Linked DNA regions of Diceros bicornis minor. The protein of the gene in region 2 interacts with the protein of the main gene of each other region in a pairwise test. Links are inferred from orthologs where the notes say so. Each region holds a gene or a part of one and is shown on either strand. Other genes may lie near its edges. The genes, in order: BNIP3L and CLEC7A.

What was found.
Region 1: the proteins of CLEC7A (region 2) and BNIP3L interact in binary tests that used the Homo sapiens proteins (3 or more experiments, as listed by UniProt). The two-hybrid records come from large-scale screens. The link is inferred for Diceros bicornis minor from reciprocal best matches to the Homo sapiens genes CLEC7A and BNIP3L.

What each region holds. Positions count from the first base shown.
Region 1 is NC_080750.1:67,535,895-67,552,325, forward strand, and holds the start of BNIP3L (BCL2/adenovirus E1B 19 kDa protein-interacting protein 3-like), read right to left. Parts: upstream 7,480-16,431; 5' UTR 7,408-7,479; coding exon 7,308-7,407; intron 315-7,307; coding exon 131-314; intron 1-130.
Region 2 is NC_080756.1:52,028,000-52,044,295, reverse strand, and holds the start of CLEC7A (C-type lectin domain family 7 member A), read right to left. Parts: upstream 8,220-16,296; 5' UTR 8,069-8,219; intron 7,075-8,068; 5' UTR 7,006-7,074; coding exon 6,903-7,005; intron 4,789-6,902; coding exon 4,690-4,788; intron 3,626-4,689; coding exon 3,488-3,625; intron 2,372-3,487; coding exon 2,220-2,371; intron 554-2,219; coding exon 435-553; intron 1-434.

The DNA.
Region 1 (16,431 bases), on a different chromosome or scaffold from region 2:
ACACATGCTGCAATAAATCAGGAGTCATATTTTGTTAAATGAAGATATAAGCAATTTATATTGTCTAATGGGAATTAACCTCGTAACCCATCTGTTTCCTGAATTCTACCAAAACGTGGATATCACTTACCTATCACAGTGAGAACTGCCCCTTGAACTACTCTGTCCTGATTCGTGTTGTGCATCCAAAAGAATCTTCTCCATGTCTCCATTGTGGATGGAAGATGAGGACGGTACATGCTCTAGCCCCCCATTTTTCCCATTGCCATTATCATTGCCATTGCTGCTGTTCATGGGTAGCTCCACCCAGGAACCTGTCGGACAAGTCAGATAACTTAAGTTAGCCACAGCACAACCAAATTTATCATGCACACTTGTGAATATGGTGAGTTCTGATAAAAACTCTGACTCGACTCAAACCAAATGCAACAGTATTCTGAAGAAAATAAACAAGAAGCAATAAAAGTCTAAAAACGTATATAGTTCTGTTCCTGAAGCAGCTCACGTAATCAACCAATTTAGAAGAAGCTGCAACTCTAAAACTAGTACCTTAGAAAATGTGTCTTTCAGCCAATTTTCTCTCTGGTTAAAGCTTAGTTTAGATACAATAAACACTTTACTGAAAACTTTCAGGTTGCTTTTGAAAAAATAAATAGCTACTTTACTACCAGACAGGTTACTTACCTTTAATATTTTAGTTACATATATTTTTTTTCTGTAGTCTACCTCAGCTATTTAGTTGCATCCTCTCCACAAATGAAATAAACATATGGCTTAGAAACTTCATAAAGGTCACCTAAGTTAAGTTAACAACTATGTCTTAATTAGCACAAACAATTGAGAAGCTCCTAGAGAGGAAACTTAAATACAATCATAAAAATTTCTATTTGTGTACAGATCTGGAGCATAAAATTAATGCAGCTGGCTCTTAACTAAATCAGGTGACGATGCTAAAAATTCTGAGAAAGCTTTACCTCCGTCCCACAAAGTAGTTTCTTCTCTTCCTTTATACCTCACTCTTTCTATTCTTCCTCCTTTCCCTAAGCACAAAACACACCTTGTCAACTTGTCTTTTCTCTCCCGCGAGTTCCTATCTTTCTAGGATTTTCATTAGCCTTGTTGGTCTGAGGGGAAAAACAACTGCGCACCCGCCACAGGGACACTGACGTTTTCTCAGGCCAACAGTGGAAGGGGTGGAGCCACAGGAAAGGGGACGTGGCCTCAGTAATTTGGATAAGTCTTCAAAATATTTATTGGCCAAATGAGTTCGCTGAACCCATTAAGGTGCTTTAATTTTATGATAACAGTAGCAAATTAACCAACTCAATAACAAATAGAGATAGTGGTGTATTTTTTTCATAATTTCCATTCCTTACAACAAATTTTTGTTTTAGAAAATGTAACCAAGCAGGTTGGTGGGGCCATTCCTCTAAACTCACAGCAGAAGAGTTAAGAGAGTTCTGTCGCTGAACAGTCCTCCATCAGTAAATCAGAATAATCACCACACAGGCTCAAACCCTAACATGCTCTCTCAACGAGGTGATGACTATCCCAGATAACCTCAAAGGCAAACCTGGTTGGAAATCTGACTCCACCGCTATCTGTCGGTCTGCCTTTCTGAACTTCAGCTTCCTCATTTGTAAAACAGACATAATATCACAATGCCTACCTCCCAGGGTTGCTGTGAGGATGAAACATAGCAACATAGGTAAAGTGCCTAGTAAACAGGAGATGCTCAATTATCACTAGTTAAGAGTTTGTATTTGTAAAGTACTCAGAACAATGTTTGCTAAATAAAAACGAAATTACCCTTCCCTCCCTTTCCCTCTAAGGTAGTCCCAGTGGTTGTCACAGCCTCACAGTCACCACCAGTTCTTTGGGACTACACTGCCAAACAACATAGTTGTATGATATCTCCGTGGTCTCATTCTAGCTACACAAAATGGAAAGACTAGATAGAACTCATACTGGATTAACAAATTCAACAAAGCTAAGACAGATCTAATACTGCAGGTAATTTGACTAAATATTTGGAGCGCCTCTGGAGTGTATAAGAAATATAGTAAAAGCATCCCTAAATTTGAAGCTCTGCAAAATATTCTAATTGGAAAGAGAGACAGAGAAAGAGAGAGATATATCCAAACCGTTTTTCTCTACTCCCACTGTTTCTAGGATTGTCAAACTTATATTAAACTAACGTGACCAGTTTTCTGGTACAGAAGGCCAATGTGTGCCATAAACAAAAACAAGCCAAAGGCAAGAGCTGCTCCGGCAGAAGCAGAACTAAGGAACCAGGAGCTCCAGATGGGTCTCTGAGGAAGCCAGGCTTCCCTAAAATATAATTAATGTTCCCTTGAAGTAGCTGATCAAACAGAAAAAGGCTGTAACAATATCAGGTTTTCTGGACCTTCCTTTTTTGAAGGACTTCCAAACCAATATCTAAATCCTACTTTCTGCATTAAAAATATGTTAGCAATCAGAATCTAGGAACTTGAGGAGACATACATAGAAAAGCTTAGCAAAAGTGATCTCTATAATTGCTTTAACACCCTATAGCAGAACCAAAGGGATTTCTACTCCAGGCAGACAACATTTATTTGGCGTGTATTAGTGCACTGATTAAGAGCACAGGCTGAAGCTGGACTCCCAGTCTATCATTTACAGCTGTTACACCCTAGACAAGTTCCTTAACCTCTTTGTGTCTCAATTTTCTCATCTCTAAAATAGGGATAATAACTATTTCTACCTGAAGGTGGTCAAAAGGTACAAACTTCCAGTCATAAGATACATAAGTCCTGGGGACGTAATGTACAGCAAACTACAGCAACTATAGTTAACAATAATGTATTGTAAATTTGAAAGGTGCTAAGAGAGCAGATCTTAAAAGTTCTCATCACAAGAAAACAAAATTTGTAACTATGTGTGGTGACGGATGTTAACTAGACTTATCGTGGTGATCATTTTGCAATACATATAAAATCAAATCATTATGCTGCACACCTGAAACTAATATAATATTCCATGTCCATTATATCTCAGTAAAAAAAATACTGTTCCCTTCACATAAGAAAAAAAAATTTATCTACCTCATAGCATTGTTTGGAGGAGGAGATGAATAAAGCACATAGAAAAGTACACAAAGTCTCTAGTACATGCTAAGTGCTGGGTGTTATCACTATTATAATTATACTCTGTATCTTTTAAAAAACATTTCTTATTGCAAAATTACTGTATTCCTTGAGAATGTATACATCAGTAAAGATGTTTTTAACACCTCTGCTCTCAACCTCCCACATCTACTCCCAAAGGAAACCACTGTTAAGTTTCACATTTAGACTTGCAGAGTTTTTCAATGAAATATAATTGTTTTGCTTTCATTTTCCAAAAAAAAAAAAAATGGAATCATATTGTACATATTTTTCTGTAAACAGTGTTTCTTCCTTAACAGCTTGTAGATGTCCTTCAATGTCCACACGTACTGCCTTACTTCAGTCTTCTGGACAGCTGCATTGTATCCCATCATAAAGATACACCACACTTTACCCATCATCCAAATGGCAGTGGTTAATCATTACCCACAGGAGTGTTTCTAATATTTTGTTATTACAACCAGGGCTTCCCTGCACATTCTAGAGGGTAATTTAGCAATATGTATTAAGAACCTTAAAAAGGTAGATTTCCTTTAACTCAATAATTCTCTTCCAGAAATATCATCTAAGGGAATAAACAGTGCTGCAGGGAAAGTTAGGACAGATATTCATTAAGGGGTTACATATTCGCTTTATCTTTTGAGTAAAATGGAAAAAAGCAGGCTTGTCTTCCACTACAGATGAACTACACATGCCTTTTTCTCATCACCTCGTTCATTCCTGATTTACAGCCTCAGACTTTCTTGATGTTCTAACTCTACCAATTCTCACAATGTCGCTTTTTACTTGAAAAGGAAACAACGCAAGATATGAGGATTGTGCTGTCCAAGAAATACAAAGTTGAAAAAAAGCTGAGTGAACTTTCTTCCTAAAAAGCTTTAAAACGAAAAATTGGAGGCTCTATTTTGTTAAAAGACTACTTACACACCAAAAACTGTTCTCTTATGCCAGACTGTACACATACACAATACAAGAGATATTTTCCAGTTTAAGTCTGAGAACTGTTAAGAGATTCGGAGAAGCATGCTTCTACATTCTCTAATATAGTACGCATCATGAAGGCTGGTACAATAATTGTGATTACATTCATGACTGTATGTTGTACATACTCTTGATAGTTTTATAATCACCAGTTCAATGCTCTTGCAAAAAGGGGAGTGGGACAGCTAGGGGGTGGGGGAGGGGAGAAAAGGAGAAAGAGTATTGCTGATTTTTTCCCCAACTTTTCAAGGTCCCACATGTAACTCTTATCCTAACCAGGGGTAACACATTTCATTATGTCTTATCTTCTTTCCTCAAAGCCTTTATTTTATTCAAGTTCCTGAAGATTGAATCCAGATCAAGAACTGTCATTGACATTCTTCTAAAAACAAAGTTTGTCCTTTTGCACAAGTAGGTACTTACACACCAGTTACTTTTGTATTCAAAACAGTATCACAAGGCAGTGAAGTTTCACATGTCATAGCCTTAAAAGCCTTCTTGCCACACTGGGGAAGCAAGTATACCATGGTCGAAGATGTTTAAAAAGAAAATAAAAGGCTGTTCTTCCTACAATAAACAATAACAAAATTCTACTGCCATGATTTTCCTTATATTACTGACTGAATTTTAAGACATAAATGTCCAAAACAAATATTCTTAAGTAACTTGATAGTTTTCTCAGGAATAAAACTAACAACTGGAAACTGGAAAATATCCTTTTAACTTTGGAAGTAGTTCAGATATTTGTCCACTAATTTGTAATGAAAGTGTACAGTCCTCCTACAATGCTAAACTAAAAAAAAAAAAATCAGAGAAAGGTTTCATTATTCCACATATTTCAATAATTTGCTATTAAAACTCTGCTTTGACCTCTGAACTAAAGATAAAATCCCAAGCCAAGGATAATCTGTACAATGAGTTCATCTCCTGTTTTTCTTAGTTGTGCAACTTTACCCAACAAAGAACTTCAACTTATCAGCAATTAGGATAGTATTAGATGCCTGAATAAGTTGTTTTGCTCCGCACTCAAAAATCACTTGAAGGAATCAATAAGCCTTCTTGTTTTGTTCAGTCCAGTGTTGTATAATGAGCTAAAAAAAAAAAAAAACCAGTAAAAGGCAAAAGGCGAGGAATGAAATATGGCACTAAATAAAAGCTTTTCAGTCACTTTTAAAAGCTCACCCTACCCCAAATACAACACTTTCTATCTAGCAGATTTCCCAAAGCAACATTTTGATATCCCACACAGGCTGAGTGTTCTTCCACTTCTGTAAGAGCTGTTATACACGCAGCAGCTACTGATTGGCCAAGGACATCAAATACTTCAAAGGGCTGTGAGACTCAGAGTCAAACAATCACATATAGCTCAACCTCATTTTTTTGTTAAATGGTCAAAGGAAAATTAAAATTCCTCTGCTTTCTGTGAAATGTACACACAGGTAACCAAACACCCAACTTACACAAGTATCATAGGAAAACACTTGGGTACAATTAAAAAACGGTATATTAAAAAGAGATAGGCAGGTCACCTCTGTACATTAGGTGGAATAACATGCTGAGAGAACAAGAAACCCACACAACCAGGGGATTCTAGGCCACTGAAGTGTCCTGAAAGGAGCACTAGGTCTGGTAAAAGTAAAAACCTCAGCTCTAGGTGCCAGCCTGCTGTGAATCTGGACAGCACACTTTAGACGGGTAAATAACACGGGCGAGTTCTCTCTCAAGTCTCCTCCCATTCTAAAATCCCATGCTTCTGAAGAGTATGCTAAAAAGGGGTAAATAATTTAAAAATGCATATTAATATGTGAAGCAAATAACATTCAAAGACATAAATTAATCCTAATTTACTGCGGGAAATAATATATAAATCTTACATTCTAGAACATAAAATAGACAAAAGTTTTAAAAAGTCAACATTTAAGAAATTTATCCACCAAAAGATGGAGCAACAGCAATAAGCAATGATAACATCTTAAAATACTCTAATTCTATCCCTATCTTGTGAGGACAGGAACTCTCTTCCCTAAAATAATCTTTAGGCCATGCTGCAACACCTCCCTCTGATGAAATACATAGCAATGCCTTTAAACGTCATTTAAGCACCCAAATGATTTTTAAACGATTTCATCTAGCCATATGGTAACTGTCCCAACTACCTCTTTCATGAGATGAATTACAGAATGGTTAGGCAAGAACGTATTCAAAAAGACTCCGAGCTCTAAAGACAACAGGGACCACCTTAGCACAAGATGTCTGGGCATCAGAATGTTCTGAAAAGCAACTGTAGCTGACCGCAACTCAATATTGCCCAGTAACTTTCAATCGCCCGTGTGTGTGTCTTTTTAATCCCTGTTTCTGAAAATTCATTGCCCCAGACTCCGTGATTTGTGCAATCTTGGATGGCTCAAGAGGCTGTTCATAAACAGTTTTACAGGGCACATAACCCCATCGCTTCAAAAACAAAAAGAAAAAAAAAAAAGACACTTGAGTAACTCTGAAAAATCTCAAAAAAAAAAAAAAAGGGTAGCATAGGCTCCTCACCCCACCTCTCTGTGATACAAGTAACCACTAAATTACCAAATGATTTTCCTGACCAGCCCGCGGTAACAAAGGCCCGCGACAAGAGGGCTCACATTCGAGCCCTAAGGGAAGGCCGACCAGGGAGGTGGGGTCAGCGGGGCCGGCCCACGCCCCGTCGCACACCTGACCGCCCGCCATCCCTCGGGCGCCCCCTCCCCTGGGCCGGCCGGCCGCGTCCATCCCCCGGCGTCCCCGCCGCACGTCCCCATCCCTGCCCACGTCCCCTCGGCCGCCCGCTCCGCCCACCCTCCCTCCCCGCGCCTGAGGCCCGCCCCTCCACGCCCCGATTGGCTCCGCTCAGGGGCCCACCACAGGTGGGATCGGCTCGTCCCCATTCTCTTCCCACCCACCTGCCCTCCCCGACACCTAACCCCAGCAGCCCCTCACCCAAAACCCCGGGAGGAAGGGGAGACAGGTCAAAAGGAAGACAAGAGCACTCCTCCTGACAGGTAACGGGAGCTGTCAGTCACCCTCACATTCTCGGCCTGGACCAATGGGCTGCCTTCTCCTCCCGCCCCGCGCGCGGAGCTGGCAGCGGCGGCCACAGCAGCTCCTCCTCCCCCATCCCCTTCACGGAGCCCGCCGGCCCGCACTCACTGTTGAGGCCGGCTGGCGGGGGCAGAGACTGTTCACCGTCCTCGCAGTTGTTGTTGTTGTTGTGCAGGGGCGGCGGCTGCTCTACTAAATGAGACGACATTGTCGGGCGGCTGGAAGAGCTGCGGCCGCAGCAGGACCGTCTCTGGTTCTCGGGCAGCAACACAACAAGCCGAGTCCCCCGCCCCCTTTTCTGCGCCTGCGCAGTCCCTCCCCTGCCCCTGACGTCAGGGCCCGCCCCAGCCACGTGATGACAACACAACAAGCTGCGGGGCGGGGCGCGGGCGTTCCCAGGCCGGCTCCGGACGTGGAGACGCGAGAGTCACGCTGACGCGCGCGCCAGGAATGAGTTCTTGCGTGTTATTTGTACTGGTCTGATAAAGTGAGTTATGCGGCTGGAACTGGGCTTAGAGGCTAGGGAGAAGTGTGTAATGAGGAAGTGTAAGGTGCTCATGTGTTGACAACAAAATATTCCACACCTACAGGGTCAGCATTGTTTTAGCCAATCCGTGAGCACTTCTTGTTTAATGTCTGTAAGGACTCACTTCTGTAATAGGTATCATGGTGACACAAAGGAAGCAAAAACCCTGCTGCCTTCCCCGCCATAAACTAAAGCAAAGCTGGTGGAACATTAACACTCCAAACAGGGAACAACATAAGGCAGGCCAGACTTTGTTGTTGTTAAGGAATTTCAAAGATTTTAATTACAAATGTAACTCGAGATCATTGTAAAAATTGGAAAATTTTAGGAAAAGATAGAGAAGAAAATAATCACCCAAATACCATCACCTAATTTATTTCTGGGACATAACACGAGAAGCCATGTTTCCTATATGTGGGCAGCACGAAACTACTTTTTGTGCTTAAACACTACACCTACTTCATGTATCCATATCTTTGTCCAGTTTCCTTGGTCTGATTTATATGTGGCATATATTTCTCTCAGACTGTCACTTGTCTTTTAACTTTGTTTCGCTCTGCAGACGTTTAAAATTTTCGTGTAATCAAATCTATAATTTTTGTATGGCTTGGGAATACGCTCACACCAAGGTTATGAATCTATTCCCTATAACTTTTCTGATTTTACTAAGTTTAATTTTTATATTTAATCCATCTGAAATTTAGTTTCGATATGTTGTAAATTAACTTCATTTCTTCCTAATTGAGTAGTTAATTGACCCAACAATATTTATTAATTTTTAAGACTTCCTTTCCATGCTGATTTGAAATTGCACCTTTATCACATTCTAAATTCCCACAAAAAGCCGAGTCTATTTCAGGCCTTTCTACAATAGCTCTGTTTGATAACTATTAGAGAAAGTTTCTCCTCATTTATCGTTTTAAAAATTTTCATGACTGTTTAATTACTTTTAAGATGAACTTAAAATTTGACTTGTCTAAGATTGACCATGTGTTGGTAATTATTGAAGGTAATGATGGCTACATTAACTGTAATGTGATGGATACATTAAACTATTCTTCCAATTTTTTAATGTGCTTGAAAAATTTCATACTAAAAAGTTTTTTTAAAGGATTGATTTGTCAAATCTCATTGCAGATTCTTTTAAGATTTTGGTCATAAATGTATTCAATTAATAAATTAATTGGGGGGGATAATTCACATATTTACAAAATTGTTTTCCCATTCTATTTTTCTTAATTAAAAAAAAGTACTTCTTCAAAAATGTCTTCAACATGTTTTGATCTTTTGTGAGTTTTGGTACAATCATGCTCATTTTGTAAAAAATAATTAGAAAGTTCCCTTTTCTATGGTCTTACGTAGATGACATTGAAATTACTTTTCTTTAAGGATTTGTTAGAATTCTCCTAAGGAAACATCTGGACCTAGTGTTTTTAGGGGGATTAGCTCTGTTTCTACAGGATGTCACCTTTATTTCTAATGTTGTGTTATTTGTCCTCTATTTTTTCTTGATTGTATTACCTAATGGTTTATCTATTTTAGGGCCTTTTTAAAATCTAATTGCTTCTTCCTAATTGTATTCTTAACCCTTTTTTTAACAGCTTAACTGAGATATAATTCATATACTATACAATTAATCCATTTAAAGTTCACAATTCAGTGTTTTTATCCTATTCACATAGTTGTGTAACCCTCACCACAGTCTAATTTTGGAACACTTTTGTCACCCCTAAGAGAAACCCTGTACTCATTAGTCACCACTCCTCATTTGATGCTTATTTCATTCTTTCTTTAATTATTTGGGTATTTAAGAATTTCTCCCTGGTCAGAGTGTGTTTTTGCACTATTTCTAGTTTGGAGTTTTTTCTTAGGTTTTCTTTAGGGCCTAATATGTGGTTCCTTTTGGGGAATGTTCCATGAGTATTTGAAAAGAAGGTGTAGTTTCTGTGTTCAAGGTATCAGGTGTGATGTATTTATTAGAACTACCTTAATAATAATGTCATTTAAAATTTTGTATTTTTCCCCTCTTTATGTGTCATCAATTCCAAGAGGTCAATTAATATTTCCCACTCCTAGTATGTTTCTGTTTCTTCTATCTCCTTTCACTATAGTCGATGCTTCATTATGTGATGCACAAATATTCGTAACTGCCTCTTTATCACTGTGAAGTGGTTAAAATTTTGTCCTCAGTTCAACCTTGTGTGTTATTAAAATCATGATGCTGGTTTTTATTATTGTTGTTGTTTTTGTTTAGTTGCAACATCTTGATGCACCCCTCCTTTTAATTTTCCACCTTTCTGAATCACTTTCTATTAGGTGTGTCACTTATAACTCAAAAAGTAGTCTTTGCTTTAGGACCTAATCAGAATTTTTCTTCTTTTAATAGGATAGTTTAACACATTTATATTTATTGATAATATAAATGTATTTGGATTTAATAGTGTTATTTTATATCATGCTTTCCATTTAATCTCTTAAAATATTTTTCACTATGGACCTATTTGTTTTATAATATATTTCATCTTATGACTTAGAAATTTTTATTTTTGTTTAATGATTTCCCTTTATAGCTATATATTTATATAATTCCTTTAGTCCTCCATTTCTTTAGACAGTTTCTTTAATGCCCAGAAAGGAACCATAATGAAATTAGTATAATTCCTCTTCTTCTATGTTTCTCTCTACTACCCATTTTTTAGTTAACCATATTCTACCTTAATACCGTTGTAGTTTTAGATATAGTTGTACATCGATCACTTGATTTATCAACTTAATATGATAAAGTTTGACAAGTAGAAATAAGGTAGCATACTTGCCCTATCTCTTACTTTTCTCCCTTTTCCCCACCACTACTTACTTTTGTTAATTATTCATTTCAATATTATTAGAGTTTATACATCGTAGTATATGTGCCCTATAGATATTGCCATAATCATGCTGTGTCATAAAACACTCCAAACTCTCTGGCTTAAACAAGAAACATTTATTCTCTCTCGTGCAATTGAAAGATAGTTAATATAGACTCAGCTCAGGTGGATTTGGTTCCAAGGTTAGGGTTGGTCCAGCTCAGCTCCCCTGTCTGTCATCCTCCTTGGACCATGGGTTGGCCAGGGCATGTTCCTCTCACGATGACGAAAGAAACTCAAGAAAAATGAGCAGATGCAGCTCTGTAACTATCATTTCCATGCACATTCCATTGGCCAAAGCAAGTCAGATAGCCAACGGCAAAGTCACATTGCAAAGGGAGTGCATTCCAGGAGGATAAAGAATTGGGAACAATAATATAATCTACAATAGTCGTTAGCATAATCCCCATGTTTGTTTTAGTTTCTGTTCTGTAGTTATAGATTCACAGCTCATTATGGGTCCTAGTGCCACAATTTGTACAATTATCTCTGGCTAGCTGAAGTGTTCCACCTGATGATAGTATTTCCTAAGGTAATGCATCTTCTAAAAGATTGACCTGTTGGCTGCAGATTTTTTTCTTAAAACAATTTTTTTGCACAGTAATTGACATACAACAAATTACATATTTATAAGTACATAATTTGATATCTTTGGACTTACATATACACTGTGAAACCATCACCACAATCAAGACGGTAAACATATACATCATCCCCAACATTTCCCTAGTGCCTTTTTTATTTTTTTTAATATTTTTTAATTAATTTTTTTTTTGGAGGGGGGTGAGGAAGAGTGGCCCTGAGCCAACATCTGTTGCCAATCTTCCTCTTTTTGCTTGAGGAAGACTGTCCCTGAGCTAACATCTGTGCCCATCTTCCTCTACTTTTTTTGTACGTGGGACACCGCCACAGCATGGCTTGATGGGTGGTGCATAGGTCCGCACCCAGGATCTGAACCTGCGCACCCTGGGCCATGGGAGCGGAGCATGAGAACTTAACCACTACACCATCGGGCCAGCCGCCTAATGCCCTTCCCTTCCTTTCACTCCCGAGTGATCAATGATCTGCTTTCTGTTACCATAATTTGCATTGTACAGAGTTTTATATAAATGGAATCATACATTACTTTTTTTGTTTTGGCTTCTTTCACTCAATATAATTATTTTGAGATTCGTTTACATTGTTGTGTATATCAACAGGTCATTGCTTTTTATTGCTAAGTAGCATTCCTTTGAATGGATATACCATGATTTGTTTCTCCATTTATGCATTGATGGACATTTGCATTGTTTCCAATTGGGGGCTATTTCAAATATGGCTGCTATGAACATTTATGTACAAATCCTTGTATGGACATATATTTCCTTTTCTCTTGAGTAAATACCCAGGAGGAAAATAGATGGATCATATGGTAGGAGTATGTTTAACATTTTGAGAAACTGCCTAAATATTTTCCAAAGTGGCTATACCTTTCCACCAACAGTGTGTGAAAGTTCTGGTTCCTCAACAATCTTGTTAGTGCCTGGTACTGTGTTAATTTTAATTTAGCTTCATTGATTCGTAGTGTGCAGTATTGTTTCATTGTGGGTTAATTTACATTTCTCTCATGATAAGGCTGCTGAGCAGCTTTCCATGTGCTTGTCATCCATATATCTTATTTGGTGAAGTGTCTGTTCAAACTTTTACACATTTTTTAAATTGAATTGTTTTCTTATTTTTGAGTTATGAGATTTCTTTATATATTCTCAGTACAAATCTTTTATCAGGCACGTGCCTCTACAAAGATTTTTCCCCCACTACACGTACCTGTCTTTTGTTTCTCTTAACAGTGTCTTTTGAAGAACAGTTTTCAATTTTGATAAGTCCAATTTATTAATTTGTTCTTTTATGGATTGTGCTTTTGATGTCATATCTAAGAAATCTGTGCCTAATTCAATGTCACAAAGATTTTCTACTCTGTTTTTTTCTAGAAATTTGATACAATTGCATTGAACACGTAGACTGCTTTGGGTAGTATTAGCATTTTAACAAGATTGTCTTTTAATCCATGAAGATGGGATGTCTTTCCATTTATTTAGATATTCTTTAATTTCTTTCAGCAGTGTTTTATATTTTTCAGTGTACAAGTTTTTCATCTCCTTTATTAAATTTATTCCTAGGTATTCATGTGTATGCAGTTGTAAATTAGTTATTTTTTAAATTTCCTTTTCAGATTGTTCTTTGCTATTATATAGAGACAACTGATTTTTGTGCTGATCTTGTACCCTGAAATTTGGCTGAATTTGTTTATTAGCTCTAGTAGTTTTTTTTTTTTTAATTCTTTGGGATTTTCTATGTATAAGATCATGTCATGTGAAAATACAGATAGCTTTATGTCTTCCTTTCTAATTGGACGCATTTCATTTCTTTTTCTTGCCTAATTGCTCTAGCTAGAACTTCCAGTACAATGTTGAATAGCAGTAGTGAAAGCAGGCATCCTTGTCTTACTGATCTTAGAGGAAAAGCTTTCAGTCTTTCACCATTGAGTATGATGTTTACTATGGATTTTTCATAAATGCCCTTTATCATGTTGAGAAATTTCAATTCTATTCCCAGTTTTCTGAGTGTTTTTATTATGAAAAGATAAATTTTGTCAAATGTGTTTTTTGTGTCAATTGAGTGATCATGTGGGTTTTTTCCTTCATTCTATCAGTTACATTGATTAATTTTCTTATGTTGAACTTCCCTTGCATTGCTGGGGTAAATCTCACTTGGTCATGGTGTATAATCCTTTTAATATGCTATAGGATTCAGTTTGCTAGTATTTTGTTAAGGATTTTTGCATCTGTATTCATAAAGGATGTTCGTCTGTAGTTTTATTGTGGTGTCTTTGTCAGTTGTTGGTGTCAGGGTAATATTGACTTCATACAATGAGTTAGGAAGTAGAAATTGCCTTCTACCATTGTTTGGAAGAGTTTGAGAAGATGTTAATTCCTCTCTAAATATTTGGTAGAATTCACCAGTGAGGCCTTCTGATCCTGGGCTTTTCATATTGAGAGGTTTTTGATTACTGATTCAATCTCTATTCTTGTTGTAGGTCTACTTGAATTTTCTATTTCTTCTTGAGTGGGTTTTGGTAATTTGTGTCTTTCAAGAATTCATTCTTTTCATCTGGGTTTTGTAACTTGTTGGCATATAATTGTTCACAGTATATCTTATAATTCTTCTTATTTCTGTTTTGTTGTTAATAATGTCCCCAGAAATTCATTTCTAATTTTAATTTTTTGATTCTTCTCTTTTTCTTAGTTAGTCTAACTAAAGGTTTGTCAATTCTGTTGATTTTTTCAAGGAACCAACTTTTGGTTTCATTGATTCTTTCTGTTGTTTTACTATTTGTCTATTATGTTTATCTCTGCTCTAACCTTTATTATTTAGTTCCTTCTGCTAGCTTTTGGTATAGCTTGGTCTTCTTTTTCCAGTTTCCTAAGTCATAAAGTTAGGTTATGGGCTTGAGGTCTTTTTTGATATAGGCATTTACAGTAGTAAATTTTCCTCTGAGTACTATTTTGGCTGCATCCCATAAGTTTTGGAATGTTAGGTTCTGTTTTCATGCCCATCAGAGTATTCTATAATTTTCTTTGCAATTTCTTCTTTAACCCACTGGTTATTTAAGAATGTATTGTTTAATCCATACATATTAGCAAATTTTCCAGTTTTCATTCTGTTATTGATTTCCAGCTTCGTTCTCTTGTGGTCAGAGAAGATATTTTGCATGATTTCAGTCTTTCTAAATGTATTGAGGCTAGTTTTGTGGCCTAACATATGGTCTATCCTAGAGAATGTTCCATTTGCACTTGAGAAGAATATATATTCTGCTGTTGATGGGTGTAGTGTTCTATATATGTCTGTTATTGGTTTATACTGTTTATACTGTTGTTCAAGTCTTCTATTTCCCTATTGATCTTTGGCCTATATGTTCTATAAATTATTAAAAGTGAGAGTATTGAACCCTCCAGCTATTATTGTGGAAACTTCTATTTCTCCCTTCAATTCTCTCCAAGTTTGCTTCATATATTTGGGGGCTCTAGTTTTTTGGTGGATATGTTTTTAATTGTTATATTTTATAGATGAATTGACCCTTTTATCAATATATAATGACCTATTTTGTTTCTTGTATCAATTTTTTAATTAAAGACTATTTTGTCTAGTACTAGTATAGCCACCCCAGCCCTATTTAGGTTACTATTTATATGGAATATATTTTTTCATCCTTTCACTTTCAACATATTTCTGTCTTTGGATCTAAAGTGAGTCTCTTGTAGACAGCATATACTTGGATGAAAATTTTTAAACCTGTTTTTCCAATCTCTACCTGTTGATTGGACAGTATAATCCATTTATAATTAAAGTAATTACTGGTAAGCAAGGACTCACTTCTGCCATTTTGCTAATTATTTCTGTATATCATACCTTTATTCCCCTCATTTCTTCCAATACTACTGCTTTTCATTAAATTGACTTTTTTTGCAGTGTACAGTTTTGGCTCTCTTCTCATTTCCTTTTTTGTGTATTTTCAAATATTTTCTCAGTGGTTACCATGGCGATTGCATTTAACCTCCTAAATTTATAACAATGTGGTTGGAATTGATACCAATATAGCTTCACTAACATACAAAAACTCTGTTCCTATATAGCTCCACTCCCCTTTATGTAGTTATTGTCACAAATTATATCTTTATTCATTGTATGCACATTAACCTAGATTTATAATTATTGTTTTATGCATTAGTCTTTTAAATCTTATAGGAAACAAAAAGAAGAGTTACAGACCAAAATCACAACACTAGTTTTATGTTTACCTGTGTACTTATCTTTACCAGAGTTCTTTATTTCTTCTTAAGTTTTTGAGTTACTGTCTAATATCATTTCATTTCCCCCTGAAGGATTCCTTTAGCATTTCTTGAACTGCAAGTGTACTAGCAATGAACTCTCTCAGCTTTTGTTTAACTGGGAATGTCTTAATTCAGTCTTCATTTTTGAAGGATAGTTTTGCCAGATATAGAATTCTTGGTTGATAGTTTTTCTTTCAGCACTTTAAATGTTATCCTACTGTCTTCTTGCCTCCGTGGTTTCTAATGAGAAATCAGCTGTTGTCTTATTGAGGATTTCTTGTGTGTGATGAATCACTTCTCTCTGTTGCTTTCTAGATTCTTTCTTTGTGTTTGGCTTTCAACAATTTGCATGTAATGTGTGGCAGTGTGTATTTGTTTGCATTTACCATTTTGCAGTTCATTGAGCTTTTGGGATATGTAGATTTGTGCCTTTTATCAAATTTGGGAAGTCTTTGGCCATTATTTCTTCAAATATTCTCTAGGACTGCCATTATGCATAAGATGGTGTGCTTGATGGCATCCTACAGGTGTCTTAGGCTCTGTTCATTTTTCTTTTTCTGTTTTTTAATAGACTTTACTTTTTTAGAGAAGTTTTAGTTCACAGCAATATCAAGCAGGTACAGAGATTTCCCATATACCCCCTGACCTCACACATGCATAGCCTACCCTATTATCAACATTCTGCACCAGAGTGGTTCATTTGTTAGAATTGATGAACCTACACTGACACATAATTATCACTCAAAGTCCATGGTTTACGTTAAGGATGACTCTTGGTGTACATTCTCTGGATTTGAGAAAATGTGTAATGACATGTATCTATCATTATGATATCATGCAGAGTATTTTTACTGCCCTAAAAATCCTCTATGCTCCACTTATTCAGCCTCCTCCCACCCCCAATGCCTGACAATGACTGATCTTTTTAC
Region 2 (16,296 bases):
TTTTAATTCTCATTTACAGATGAAGAAAGAGGGGCTCAGGTAGGTTAAGCAACTTATCCAATTTTACACTGAGTGGGCCAATCACTGACTCAAGCTGAGAACTAACTTCAAAACCTATGCTCTTAACCACAGTTTAACACTGAGTGACAGTGATTACTCCTTACTGGACAATTTCAGAGAGATGCCCTTCTGGTAAGAAAGCTGAGGGAACACTTGTGTTGATAGCATTAAATGGCCACTCAGCTCTTTTGACTATAAAGACCTCCTCTACACTCTTGTTCTCTTTTTTTCTTGGCTCACTCTTTTCTCTCTCCCCATGGCTCTCTGTCATTCTCTCTCTTTCTTTATATGGCCAATAAACAGATTCTTAACCACTTGACATGGTCTCACCTCTCTGAGAAAGGGTATGAAGCTTCGTCTCTCCAGATACTTACAAGTTAGAAGAGAATATTGAGCCATCCTCCCAGAACCATGCTCCTTCAGTCTGATGGCGAGAAAGCCCTATCCAAAATGAATTATCAGGTTGGGACGACACTTGCTTTGCTATAAATTCCTGTAGGGAAACATAAATACAAATACTTGTCAAGGAGACAGAGAGGTAGAGATAGAGATGATAGAGATAGAGAGACAAAGACAGAAGAGATAGAGAGACACTCTTAGCAACATTGACAAAGAGACAAAAGATTGAATCACCTTGGTGAAGGATGCATGCATACACTGGCATCAACCTAGAGAGAAGTGGTAATTCTTGAATGCCATTCAGTGTCGCAAAAGGCATATTTCATTTCTTCAGGGTCATTATTGCTTAATTTTTCAATAAAGAATAGCTCCATAACGTCAAAATTGTGTCATCTCCACTCAAACTACCTGACGAAATCCACAACCTTCTCCTTTTCCTCAAATTGTAAGTAAAAATTTACACGACCTTTGTCAAGAAATGATTCTCATGGGGACGGCCCGGTGGCGCAGTGGTTAAGTGTGCGCGCTCCACTTTGGCGGCCCGAGGCTTCGAAGGTTCGGATCCCAGGCGCTCACCGACGCACTGCTTGTCAAGCCATGCTGTGGCGGCGTCCCATAGAAAGTGGAGGAAGATGGGCACGGATGTTAGCCCAGGGCCGATCTTCCTCAGCAAAAAAAGAGGAGGATTGGCAGATGTTAGCTCAGGGCCAATCTTCCTCAGCAAAAAAGAGAAGGATTGGCATCGGATGTTAGCTCAGAACTGATCTTCCTCACAGGCACACGCACACACAAAAAAAAGAAATGATTCTCAGAGTTACATGACAACTTAAAAATAGTTTAGTCCCATTGCTTGCTTTATGAATAAGTAACCTGGGGTTTAATGATGATATTTGAATTGTTAACAAATATAGTACAATATAGTGGCAATTATAGGAAAGTCTAAAAACCAGAAAGACTTCCAGTCTCATTCTCTTTCTTCGCCATACATCTACTTCCAGTAATTTTCTTATGAACTAGAACTGTTGGGTAAGACATGACAGAAACAAAAACCTGAGAGTAGTGAAAGTAAACGGAGAAGTTGCAGATTGTTTAGATGTATAGTCTAGGATGTTTTCTGACCATTAACCCCTTCTCATAGCCCATCTCAGTTCTATCCCTCGTTCATGATGCATTGTAAGTCTCACTTTTTCCGTAATGCTTTTTGTGTCAAGAGAGATCTCTCTTTGAATTCCTATTGCATTTGTTGCCAATACCAGATATTCAACTTTTAACAGCTTTTGAATTGTTTATTTTTTTCTTACAAATTATATGAGCATCATAATAGCAAGTTTAGTTTTTAAACCTCTTTGCCTTTCCCAGTAGCTTGCAAGGAGTAAAGGATTTATAAATGTATATTAAAATTGCTGCTATTTTTCTTGATAATTATGATGACAAAGAGGAGAATTTTCTATTTTAGTCCACCAAATTTAAAAATTGAAATCCAAACCCACAAAAATGAGTAGTGGTCTGATTATCATAGTCATGCAAACTTGAATCTGTTTGAAAAGATTTGTTTTAAAGTGAAATGTGCTTATTTTTTAAATTAATTAATTAAAAAGAAAAACATATTATATACCTTACCCACTTAGTGCATGCTATTATAACTATGGAGAATATTAAAAAGGACTTTCTCTTAGGGAAAATTATCATTACCTGGAATCTACCTCTATTTTTCTGCTCAATATAGACCACAGATAGTTATAATTGAAGTCTACACTTACTAATTCTTCTGAGCTGTCTATATTCAGGAGATTAGAACCCAGTAGAGAGCATTGCCTTTTACTTATATTCCAGGAACTTAATGATGTGCTAAATAGATAACAGCTGTTCTCATGTATGATCCAGTTAGAGGGACAAGAGCTGGAAAGAACTCCTGGAAATAAAAGATAAGTATAATGAGGTTCATATCATAACAATTCACTCTTTCACTGCGAGCACCATTCATCCTGAGGACACTTACTAAATAATCAATGAATTGCTAATAATATACTTTATTTTCAATTCAAATTATAGGGATATAATATTACAGAGGAGACCACCTTAAAATCCTCCCCTTCATTTAAAATTAAAAAAATTAATCAAGTAACTATAAACAGTGTTTTAGACAGTCAATTCTCCTTTCCTTCTTGACTTGTTTTCCTTTCCTTCAAATTCAGTCTAGAACTCCCTTTCTCAGTCATAACTTTTAAAATGAATTAACTCAAAATCAATCATTGAAGTAGACATTGAAGTAATTAATTTACAGGTGTGAGATCCATTTCAGAATGCAACTTTCCAAATGAGAAAAGTAAAAGAGCAATTATTCACATTATAGAGTATCTCTGTTTTGTATTATTAGCTACTTGATACCAATAGTGATGAGGTATGGGTCCAAAGATAGAAAATTGAAGTCAAAATATTGTCATAGTCAATTATGAGGCAGTTAGAAATAAAGACCAAGAGTATGTAAAATTGTAATGAAATTGTATGATTAAAGAAAAACAAATTTAACTAGAGTTTTCAGGAATACATCTATTAGGTCTATCTCTTTTGTATGTGTTTAATTTAGCCTCAATTCTTAGCACCATTTTCCCTTCTTTCCTTTTTCTCTCTCTTCCTTCCTTTCTGATGTCCTGTTTGCTACTCTAATTATATCACTTTAAAATGTCAACTCCCTAAGGGGAGAGAACACATTTCTCTCCTTCACACCAATTATACAATCTCCTTTAGGCCTAAACACTTATCCAGTGATAAATTAGTTACTGATTTGAAAAAACAAAAACAAAAACTTAGAACTGTTCAGCCAAGTGCATGGGGTGTTTATGATACCACTTTATTGTATATAAGACAGGTGCGTATTATACTGAGATAATACTACTGTGTGCCTTCCTTGAATGCACAATCACTGCATGTAAAAGTACTGTCTTCATTCCCTCTGCTCCAGGTCTTAGCACCAAGAATTATCCCTTTTGAATCAAGAATTCTATTAATCCTTTAACTCTGCCCTTGCCTGCAGTTGTGATAGTCTTGGTAGGAGCCACGTTCTCTTCTAAAGATGATTGTGTAGATTGACTGTGGTTCTCTCTATTTCTTGATGGAAAGTTGTTGCTCTTCAATGGTTTGCTCCCTGAATTGGATCTCCAAAAAGCTTCAGATACCAACAACCATAATAATGACAGGGAAAAAAAAGTCATTCTACTATGTTTGAAAACTAAAATCCCAAATCCCATATTTTTCTTGGAATATAAAGGGATACATTGTTGATTAATGATAAATAGATAATACGTTGCTAATGGAGAAGTAAAGATAGAGATAGACAGATAGATAGATAGATTGACGGGTTACATAGATGGAAAGAAATAACTGCCATGAAGGAGGTGTAGTAAAAAAGAGAAAAATGAAGTACGTAGAGAAGAAAGATTTTGAGGGAGAAAGCAAGAAGTAAATGAAAGAGTCAATTGGAGCCATGATAGATTTGAAATGGTAATAAAGCTATCTTCCTTCCAGTTGAAAATGAGAGCTCCTTGAGAACTCGCCCAGTACCTATAACATAAATGTACTCAATAAACATCTGACTAATTAAGGAATCTAATGAAGACTCTCTGAAGGCACAATAATACTTTATTGACAATACAATGCATGTGATTTAAAATCTAATGTTTGTTCATCCATCACAAAACATCTACTTAGTACTTAGTAAGTGCCTCAGGTAATTGCTGATATATCCAAAGGAGATTAGACTAAAGATCAGGTATAAAACAATTTCCTTAAATCAGGAGACTCATAAAAATAGCTTGTAGTTTCTTTAGAGAATTTATTTCATTAGGAAGATAAGCACCATATTGTACTTCCTTTTTTACCTCCACTGGTTTCCTTCCATTAATTTATCCTGGGAATTCCACAGCTTTGAAACCAGCTATTCAAGGAGGGTAGTAGAACCATGTAGTTAAGAGTATGAGTTTTTTTAGATCATTCACCTGAATTTGCAATCATGATCTCACCACTAACTAGTCTATGACTCTAGAAAAACAAAATAACCTTCCAGACTCTCACATCCCTTATAAATAAAATGAGAATTAATAGTACCAATTCAATAGGGTTAATAATGAGATTAAATTAGATTATGCATGTCAAGCTTTTAAAAGAGTGCCTGGCACATTATAAATGCTTATTAAATATCTGTTATTGTTAATATCCCCCACCAATACTCACCCATGGTACCCAGGACCACAGCTATCACCAGTATTACCAAACATAGGATTCCCAAAGTCACAGCAATGGGACACCAACGAGGAGATGCAGCACAGGTTCCTGAGGAGCCAGAGGGAGCAGAAATTGAAGGAAGAAATAGAATGAGGGATCATGGAGCACTTTAATTCTACAGTTCATCAAAATCTGGCAAATTCTAAAGTGAACCATTAATCACTGATTCCTGGAGAATCTAGTCATGTAGAGTTAGTCTGAATTTTTCCCCAGCTTTAGCATACTTCTTCAGGTTCTGCAACTGTAATTTGAGCACAGTGCTGTGATATCTATGCACGCCTAATTTTAGATCCACATTAATATTTATAGGTCTTGACACTACCAGGATCCTGAAATCTTACTCATTCTTAGAACAGACAGCTTAACGTAGGGGAAATAGCACTGGTTACTAAGGGTAATCTTCCCTTTTCACTCATGTGTTGCCTTGGGCAAATTACTTCCTGTTTTTTCATTTCTCTTTGTGAAAAATTGGAGTAATAATACCTCAAAGGATTATTGTGGGTATTAAATGAGCTAACACACATAAAAGCACCTAGTTTAGAGATTATGAGCACATTGTAGGTAACTCACTGTTTGTTCACACATATGCATAAACACACACACCTCCCTACCTCTTGCATCATCCAGTATCTTCACTATTCCCCAACAGATTGCGCAAGAAAAGAATTCATAAGTGGCAAAAGGAAAATAATTGTGCAATGTGATTTTACAGGAAAGAAGAAGAGAACAAATTCTGATGTCAAAACCTGTAGCAATCTCTCTCTTGATAACAGAGAATTCCTTTTATGTCAACATCACCATAGCAAGAACATAGCTCTGCCTTTGACTGAGAATAAGCAGTAGGAGCATTTCAGAACATTGTCAAATAGAAGAATCACAGAGGGGACTAAACCTCTCATTCTCTAAAAGAGAGATCTTTTAATGCCCTTCTCCATTTTTCACGCCTTTTATATTTTGTTTAAGACTCTTGCCCTGCTAATGGGATCTTTTCATCTAATATATATTTTCTTTCACCGGTGTACATAGAACTTCCTTTTGTTTAAAAAAATCCAAATTCATTTCTTACCATAAAAATCATATCAGATTCAGGATTCTAAACTCTATGACTTCTGACTTCCTTTTGGCCTTTATCACAAAAAAAGTTTGCTTTTTTCCCTCACCTATCTTCCAACTTTTCATTCTTTTTTTTTTTTTTAATTCGTAGATGGCATCCTGGAACCTTTTTTTTTTTTTTTGAGGAAGATTGGCCATGAGCTAACATCTGTTGCCAATCTTCCTCTTTTTTTTTCTCTCGCCAAAGCCCCAGTACACAGTTGTACATCCTAGTTGTAGGTCCTTCTTTGATTTTTTTTTGTGAGGAAGATAGACCCTGAGCTAACATCTGCCAATCCTCCTCTCTTTTTGCTGAGGAAGACTGGCCCTTGGCTAACATCCATGCCAATCTTCCTCTACTTTATATGGGATGCCACCACAGCATGGCTTGACAAGCGGTGCGTCGGCGCATGCCCGGGATCCAAACCTGCGAACCCCGGGCTGCCTCAGCGGAGCGCCACACCTAACCACTTGCACCACCTGGCCGGCCCCTGTAGGTCCTTCTATTTCTTCTATGTGGGATGCTGCCTCAGCTTGGCTTGATGAGCATTGTATAAGTCCACGCCCAGGATCCGAACCGGCAAACCCTGGGCCACCGAAGAGGAGTGCATCAACTGTAACCACTATGCCACCTGGCCAGCCCCCATCTTTTCATTCTTCTCTCCAATATCCTGATGTTGTTCATATACACTTATTTAAGTTTCCTCGACCTCCATTCTACAATTTACTCCTCTCTATCAAACAACAACAAGCCACTCCTGTTGAAATTCTTTCATCTCTGCATTTCATCACACTTATTACAGGTCCTTACTGCTGAAGTGTCTGTTTCTACAGAGCAGAGAAATTGTATTTTCTGCCATCAGAATAATTAATTTACATACTAGTTATTAGTCACTGAATGATTGCCAAGAGAAAAGGCTTAGTTACATTCAAATTATCTTCAATGACTTCTGAAAACCTTTTAAAACATATTAATAAAAGCCCTACAAATCACAAGTCTCTCATATTTTCTCCCCTTATGGGTTTTAGTTGATGAGAATAAGAATGCTGAAGGCAGAAAGAAAAAATACCTTTCTCTGAGACCACACGTCTCCTGGCGATGCCTTGAGAGCTGAAGTCTAATTGAGTATATCCATCTTCATCCACATTTTCTAACTCAGAGTGGTATTCCATTGTTCTCCTGGGTTCCCGAGTTGACACAGCATTTGAGAGCTCTTTTCTCTCTTCTCCTAAGACAACTGCCTGTGGACAAAAGAGGATCTATGAGTCAAATCATGTGGGAGAGGTATTTACTGAGGTTGAACAAGAGCTTAAGTTGTCCAACCAGCTATCCAAAAGCAGGAAACGAAAACTCTGCCATAGCAATTTCCCATTTGTATCTTTAGATCCTGTTTCTGAGACTAATGACTCTTAAAAAAATAATAAGGCAGCACAATGGATAGATCTTTGTTTCAGACAAAATGTGAGAAAAATGAAGAGACTAATGTCTTATGCTGCTTTCATTATTCTCACAACTGAATTTGACATCATTAATTGACTTGGTCTATATAAACTATTAAACAATTTTGATACCTCGAGTTCACCAATACTTCGCTATAACTATACATTAATTCACTTATTCGTGTAGTCGCTTGTTCAGTAAACATTTTCAGAATGCCCATCTTTTCAATTGGCGGGAGCTGGGGATACAAGGATAAATGATACCTGTGAAGAAGCTCTTTGTCTAATAACAGGAAACCTACAGATAGGTATATGAAGGATGCCATAAGGAGGTGCACTGTTGTAACAACAGAGAGAGGAAACAAATCTCTTTGGGATTTGTCAGAGATTAACATGAAGTGGTAAATTATTTATTGAACAATTACTATGAGCTAAGTACTACCCATTACACATGTTTTCTCATTCAATCTCAGTTTTCCAACAAGTCTATGTGGGAGGTATTATTCTTATTTTCAAATGAAGAAAATGAGACATAGAAATTTTAGTCCCTTGCTCAATTTTAAGAAGCTAATAAGAATATTGAAGAAAGGAATCAAGTCAAAGTCTACTCGCTGCAAAACTCATGATCTTTTCTGTTATGCTACACTGCCTCCTTCACCATTCCATACACTTATATTGCAAGTAAGAAGTTATGGAGGATTCTTGCACTGAAATATTATGCTAAATGTTTGATTTTTTTCCTCTCTTCCAATTTCCATAGTAATGTCCAAATTAATGAGATACGGAAAACACTTACCACTGCTGGAAACTACAGAGGTATCCAACCTGTTTACAAGTCTTTGAAGCAAGTAGCATGAAGGAGACATCTGACTGTTGTCAAAGATAGACCACGCCAGACACTCATTAAAGCGGTCAAGACAGATTTCCTTCAGTAATACTATTACAACAGACAAGAGAGCCCAGCATGAACTGACCCAACTTCCCCAAAACAAAGACTGGAGACTTTTTAAAGGCTGGAGTATGCGAAGGGAAAGGCACTGAGTGGTATTAAGGGGGGTTAATCCGTGTGACTGGGCCATCTGAATTTGTTAATTGGTGCCTCTCCAGAAGAGAAATGAACTTCTGCTTTTATGACAGGAGGCAATGGTGCATGTTGAAGGATGGTGGCCCCCTCTGAAGTTAAGCCCCTATCTTCCCACAGAGAGTAAAAGTCCCTAACTCCCTGAATGGTTGCATTTCAAAGAGATGGCTCTCAGGTCCTGAAGAAACTGTTTTGGGTGGTAGATTTACATCTCAAAGGGCAGAGAAAGGATCTATAATTGCAAGCTTTCTAAAGTAACTGCTCTAAGAGGGGCTCCAGGGACCTGCCTATCTGTCTATCACCAAGTTTTGACTAGAACAAACAGTAAATTCTCCTGGAAGCATTGAGCTTTCTGAAGTAGGCATTTTACGGGGGTCTGGGGTGACGCTAGGGACTCAGCCTTAAGCTGTTAGAAGCCATGCCGGAGTTTGTCACGTCTCTTAGTGCAGAGGTTTGGACGGAGGTGTTATACGCCGAGAGTTCTGCAGTTCTCACTAACAACATGTCCAAATGGAAGAGAGTGCAATGGAAAATAAGTGAGTTTCTACGTCTTACCCAGGCTGCCACAAAAGTTTTACTAACTTTTTGTAGACACGTTGCAAAGTAGTAAGGTGGATCTAATCTCAACATCCATCAGTTCATCAGCTTTCACTTCTATAATGCAGCCCTCGGAAAGCAGAGGATAGTTGGAAAGCAGGGGATTTTTCACAGAGTGAATAAATTGGCTCAAGGAAGAAGTGAGCCTACTAAACAAAACTAGAGAACAACAATGAGAAGAGCACCTTCCAGGCAATAAAAAGAGGCTGGCTTTTTACTGTCAATTCAGACTTTCCAATGAGAGAACTTGACGTAATAACTTTATTTTTTATGACTACTTTCCTCTATTTAATCACAATCCTACAAGAACAATTGGCTCTTGAAATTTTTTCAATAAATGTAAACTTTAGTCTTCTCTTTTTGTCTGAGACTAAAACAATTGAACAGCGATTACACAAATTATGGATAAACTAGGAAAAAAAGTCCCTTAGCATTTCAAGGGGCAGGGGAGGGTTGGAGACAGACAGTCTAAGTATTCACAGAAAACTACCCCTGGTTAAACATTAATGTAAGAAACAGGTGAAAAACAAACCAACCTAAACAAAACAAACAAAACCCAGTAAACAACAATTATCTAATTCATATTCTCAGTGAAAATTTGATGAAAAATTGCATCCATACAGCAAGTTTTTTCCTCAAAGAAAAATGAGGAATCTGAGAAGAGTTCTTAGAAGTGAAAAACACATTTTATAAACTAAAACTACAATTAATTGAATCTGAGTCAGATTGAATATAATGTCAATAAAACAATCGAAAGAACTGCATTCAGAATAGCTAAATTAGCCTGGTCATGCTCTTATTTCTACAAATATTAAGCTGTTGTTAACAGTAGTATTTGCTTTCAGAATTAAATCTCAAAAAATAAAATTCTTCCCAAATAAATATCTATTTTGATAGATGCACTAGAAAGAGTGTTAGACCAGCAAAAAGAAACACAAGAGAGCCTGAGGCATATATCCAATGTGACTTTTTGGAAAATTTATACAAATAAATGAATAAAGAGAAATGAATAAATATACAAACTTATAGAAATAAATGAATAAATTAATTAAATAGAAAACAAGATTATTAAAAACAAACTAAGTATTCACTTAAGAACCATTGTAGAAAAAAAAATGTAAGTCTTCAGGATACCAACATTCCAAAGTACCGTCCCCATTAATGTTTATAAGTTTCAAAAAAAAAAAAAATCATCAGGGGCCAGCCCCGTGAAGTAGCAGTTAAGTGTGTGTGCTCTGCTGCTGGCGGCCTGGGTTCGGATCCCGGGTGTGCACCAATGCACTTGTTAGGCCATGCTGTGGCGGCATCCCATATAAAAGTGGAGGAAGATGGGCATGGATGTTAGCCCAGGGCCAGTCTTCCTCAGCAAAAAAAAAAAAAAAAAGGAGGATTGGCATGGATGTTAGCTCAGGGCTGATCAAATTTCACCTCCAATTTGAATGCTAACTTGAGTCTCCTTCCTTCCTCCCTCCCTTGCTTCCTTCCTCTATCTATCCGTTAAGCAATTAAATATCTACTGAACATTTACCATCTTCTCAGAAGCCTAGATACAAGGAAGCATGAGGCCCAATCCCCACCCTGATTGGTTCCACATCATATTTGGAGGATACAGACAAAAAAATTTACTTAAATCATTTATGTATGTATCCCCTGGTTTGGGCACACCACGAAAATTACTTAGCTTTATTCACAGCACCCTTTCAGTGTTATTTTTATGCTTTCTACAAATGAAGTAATTGATATTGAGTCCTTTCTTAGAGTGTCTAAAAATTTTTGATTAAACCAAAGGCTCTCTTTATAATCAATAGATACTTCATAGTGAAAATGTGCCCCTCACCATCTTTTCCCCATCCACCTTCTCTTCTCTGATTCTGTTTATGCTCCAGCTACCCTACTGTTCCAGTGGTTTCCTGGTTCCAGTTTGCTACGTTGTCCACATACCACATATAACCTCTACTATCCCTCCTCCTTTGAGCCCCTCTTCTACTGTTTTACTGAGGAGAGAATGTATATAGTGCACGTAAACATCAGTCTCATATGGCACTTGTATTTAAAACTTCCCATTCTTCTCAAGGAAGAGATGATATTTATGTGGTATTTTCTTATTGTTAGATGCTTATAACTCTGTTCCTCATGACTCCTTGAGTTCCTTGAACCGTGGTGTATCCCGCATATTCAACACCTGGAGCAGTTCATTCTTTCTTTTTTTTTTTTTTTGAGGATGATTGGCCCTGAGCTAACATCTGTTGCCAATCTCCCTCTTTTTCTTTTTTCTCCCCAAAGCCCCAATACATAGTTGTATATCCTAGTTGTAGGTCTCTCTAGTTCTTCTATGTGGGCCGCCACCTCTGCATGGCTTGATGAACGGTGAGTAGGTCGGCGCCCAGGATCCAAACTGGCGAACCCCGGGCCAATGGAAGTGGAACGCATGAACTTCACTACGCCACTGGGCAGGCCCCTCATTTTTTCTTTTTTACTTCACTCTCTTCTATATAAAAAAATAATATTCAGTAATAATCATGAAATGGAATAAATGGTAATAACGGCCAGAAAACAAATATAGGTAGTGAATAGTTTTTATTCAACTTGATATATAAAATCAGACCAGTAAAAATAAAAGTGCATATAAATGTGTGCATTGACATAAAATAAATATTATCATACAAACTACTTTTAATTATATGGATAAAATATTTTCAATCATATTAACATATTTTTTGGAAAGGGAGAAAGAATTTATACCCTTATATAGGTATGTCACCATAATAAATAATAATATTACAATTTTTGTTTTGGACCCTTACTTTCTCAAAATTTGCCAATGACATTGTCAAAAGTAATCTTTTTCACATGTTCACATTGATTAGATAGTGTACCCAGAGTCATCAATTTATCTTTGCTCATTATTGATTGAAGACCACTTTTTGTTCATTTTAATTCTGAAAAGTTTCTTTCACTGAAGCCACAAATAGGTAAATAGGAAAAAGATGTATACATAGCATATGTGTGGCAAAGATTTAAAAAATCCTATTTCACAATTATTCCAGAAATTACAATATTGCCCATGTCTTTATTTCTTCAGGATCAATTTTAGAAGCTGTCAAATGTCTCTGCAAATTGAAAAATTGTATAAATACAAATAATAATTACAAATGGTCACATAGAAGGACCATTGAAGTAGCTCAAGTTCTGTTTATTTGACTTTATAATCACTGTGCAATGCTATCAATGTTTATTTTAAATCTACACTTTAAACACAGAAATATTCCATAATGAGTCGTTACAAATAAGGAAAACTGAGTAAGTGGTATTCTTTTTTTTTTTTTTTACTCTTTTTTTTTTTATTGGTTTATAACATTGTAAAAATTTCAGGTGTACATCATTGTACTTCTATTTCTGCATGGACTACATCATGTTCACCACTAAAATACTAATTACAACCCATCACCACACACATGTACCAAATTATCCCTTTCACCCTCCTCCCTCCCCCCTTCCCCTCTGGTAACCACCAATCCAATCTCTGTCCCTATGTGTTTGTTTATTGTTGTTATTATCTACTACTTAATGAAGGAAATCATACGGTATTTGACCTTCTCCCTCTGACTTATTTCACTTTGCATTATACCCTCAATGTCCATCCATGTTGTCACAAATGCCTGGATTTCATCGTTTCTTATGGCTGAGTAGTATTCCATTGTGTATATATACCACATCTTCTTTATCCATTCGTCCCTTGATGGGCACTTAGGTTGCTTCCAAGTCTTGGCTATTGTGACTAACGATGCAATGAACACAGGGGTGCTTGTACCTTTGCAAATTGGTGTTTTCAAGTTCTTTGGATAAATACCCAGCAGTGGAATAGCTGGATCATATGGTAGTTCTATCCTTGATTTTTTGAGGAATCTCCATACTGTTTTCCATAGTGGCTGCACCAGTTTGCACTCCCACCAGCAGTGTATGAGAGTTCCCTTTTCTCCACATCCTCTCCAACACATATTGTTTCCTGTCTTGTTAATTATAGCCATTCTGACGGGCGTGAGGTGATATCTCATTGTAGTTTTGATTTGCATTTCCCTGATAGTTAGTGATGTTGAACATCTTTTCATGTGTCTGTTGGCCATCTGTATATCTTCTTTGGAGAAATGTCTGTTCAGGTCTTTTGCCCATTTTTTAATTGGGTTGGTAGTTTTTTTGTTGTTGAGATGCATGAGTTCTTTATATATTTTGGAGATTAAGCCCTTATCAGATGTATGGTTTGCAAATATCTTCTCCCAATTGTTAGGTTGTCTTTTCGTTTTGTTGATGGTTTCCTTTGCTGTGCAGAAGATTTTTAGTTTGATGTAGTCCCATTTGTGTATTTTTTCTATTGTTTCTCTTGCCCAGTCAGATGTGGTGTTTGAAAAGATGTTGCTAAGACCGATGTGGAAGAGCTTACTGCCTATGTTTTCTTCTAGAAGTTTCATAGTTTCAGGTCTTACATTCAAGTCTTTAATCCATTTGGAGTTAATTTTTGTGCATGGTGTAAGGTAAGGGTCTACTTTCATTTTTTTGCATGTGGCTATCCAGTTTTCCCAACACCATTTGTTGAAGAGACTTTCTTTTCCCCATTGTATGTTCTTGGCTCCTTTGTCAAAGATTAGCTGTCCATAGATGTGTGGGTTTATTTCTGGGCTTTCGATTCTATTCCATTGATCTGTGTGTCTGTTTTTGTGCCAGTACCATGCTGTTTTGGTTACTATAGCTTTGTAGTATATTTTGAAATCAGGGAGTGTGATACCTCCAGCTTTGTTCTTTTTTCTCAGGATTCCTTTAGCTATTCGGGGTCTTTTGTTGCTCCATATAAATTTTAGGATTCTTTGTTCTATTTCTGTGAAAAATGTTGTTGGAACTTTGATAGGGATTGCATTGAATCTATAGATGGCTTTAGGAAGTATGGACATCTTAACTATGTTAATTCTTCCAATCCAAGAGCACGGAATATCTTTCCATTTCTTTGTGTCTTCTTCAATTTCTTTCAGAAATGTTTTATAGTTTTCGGTGTACAGATCTTTCACCTCTTTGGTTAAGTTTATTCCTAGGTATTTTATTCTTTTTGTTGCAATTGTAAATGGGATGGTACTCTTAATTTCTCTTTCTGCTACTTCGTTGTTAGTGTACAGAAATGCAATTCATTTTTGTATGTTGATTTTGTATCCTGCAACTTTACCATATTCGTTTATTACTTCTAAAAGTTTTCTGGTGGATTCTTTAGGGTTTTCTGTATATAAAATCATGTCATCTGCAAATAGTGACAGTTTCACTTCTTCCTTTCCAATTTGGATCCCTTTTATTTCTTTCTCTTGCCTGATTGCTCTGGCTAGGACTTCCAATACTATGTTAAATAGGAGTGGTGACAGTGGGCATCCTTGTCTGGTTCCTGTTCTTAGAGGGATAGCTTTCAGTTTTTCACCATTGAGGATGATATTAGCTGTGGGTTTCTCATATATGGTCTTTATTATGTTGAGGTACTTTCCTTCTATACCCATTTTATTCAGAGTTTTTATCATAAATGGATGCTGGATCTTGTCAAATGCTTTCTCTGCATCTATTGAGATGATCATGTGATTTTTGTTCTTCATTTTATTAATGTGGTGTATTACGTTGATTGATTTGCGAATGTTAAACCATCCCTGCATACCTGGAATAAATCCCACTTGATCATGGTGTATAATCTTTTTAATGTATTGTTGTATGTGATTTGCTAGTATTTTGTTGAGGATTTTCGCATCGATGTTCATCAGTGATATTGGTCTGTAATTTTCTTTTTTTTGTGTGTTGTCCTTGTCTGGTTTTGGTATCAGGGTAATATCAGCTTCGTAGAATGAGTTAGGGAGCTTCCCCCCCTCCTCAATTTTTTGGAAGAGTTTGAGAAGGATAGGTATTAAGTCTTCTTTGAACATTTGGTAGAATTCACCAGGGAAGCCGTCTGGTCCTGGACTTTTATTTTTGGGGAGGTTTTTGATTACTGTTTCGATCTCCTTACTGGTGATTGGTTTATTCAAATTCTCTACTTCTTCTTGATCCAGTTTTGGAAGGTTGTATGATTCTAAGAACTTATCCATTTCTTCCAGATTGTCGAATTGGTTGGCATATAGCTTTTCATAGTATTCTCTTATAATCTTTTGTATTTCTGAGGTGTCTGTTGTAACCTCTCCTCTTTCATTTCTGATTTTACTTATTTGTGCCTTCTCTCTTTTTTTCTTGGTGAGTCTAGCTAAAGGTTTGTCTATTTTGTTGATCTTTTCAAAGAACCAGCTCTTGGTTTTATTAATTTTTTCTATTGTTTTTTTAGTCTCTATTTCATTTATTTCTGCTCTGATTTTTATTATTTCCCTTCTTCTACTGATTTTGGGCTTTGTTTGTTCTTCTTTTTCCAGTTCCTTTAGGTGCATTGTTAGATTGTTTATTTGAGATTTTTCTTGTTTGTTGAGATAGGCCTGTATCGCTATAAACTTCCCTCTTAGAACTGCTTTTGCTGTATCCCATAAATTCTGGCATGTCGTATTTTCATTTTCATTTGTCTCCAGGTATTTTTTGATTTCTTCTTTGATTTCTTCGTTAACCCAGTTGTTGTTCAGTAGCATTTTGTTTAATCTCCATGTATTTGTGGCTTTTCTGATTTTCTTCCTATAGTTGATTTCTAGTTTCATACCGTTGTGGTCAGAAAAGATGCTTGGTATTATTTCAATCTTCTTAAATTTATGGAGACTTGTTTTGTGGCCTAATATGTGATCAATCATGGAGAATGTCCCATGTGCATTTGAAAAGAACGTGTATTCTTCGGTTTTTGGATGGAATGCTCTGTATATATCTACTAGGTCCATCTGTTCTAGTGTGTCGTTTAAGGCCAATGTTTCCTTATTGATCTTCTGTTTGGATGATCTATCCGTCGGTGTAAGTGGAGTGTTAAAGTCCCCTACTATTATTGTGTTACTGTCTATTTCTGTTTTTATGTCTGTTAATAATTGCTTTATATATTTAGGTGCACCTACATTGGGTGCATAGATATTTACAAGTGTTATATCCTCTTGTTGGATTGTTCCCTTGATCATTATGTAATGCCCTTCTTTGTCTCTTTTTACAGTTTTTGTTTTAAAGTCTATTTTGTCTGATATGAGTACTGCTACCCCAGCTTTCTTTTCATTGCCATTTGCGTGGAGTATCTTTTTCCATCCCTTCACTTTCAGTTTGTGAGTGTCTTTAGGTCTGAAGTGTGTCTCTTGTATGCAGCATATATATGGGTCTTGTTTTTTTATCCAGTCAGCCACCCTATGCCTTTTAATTGGAGCATTTAGTCCATTGAC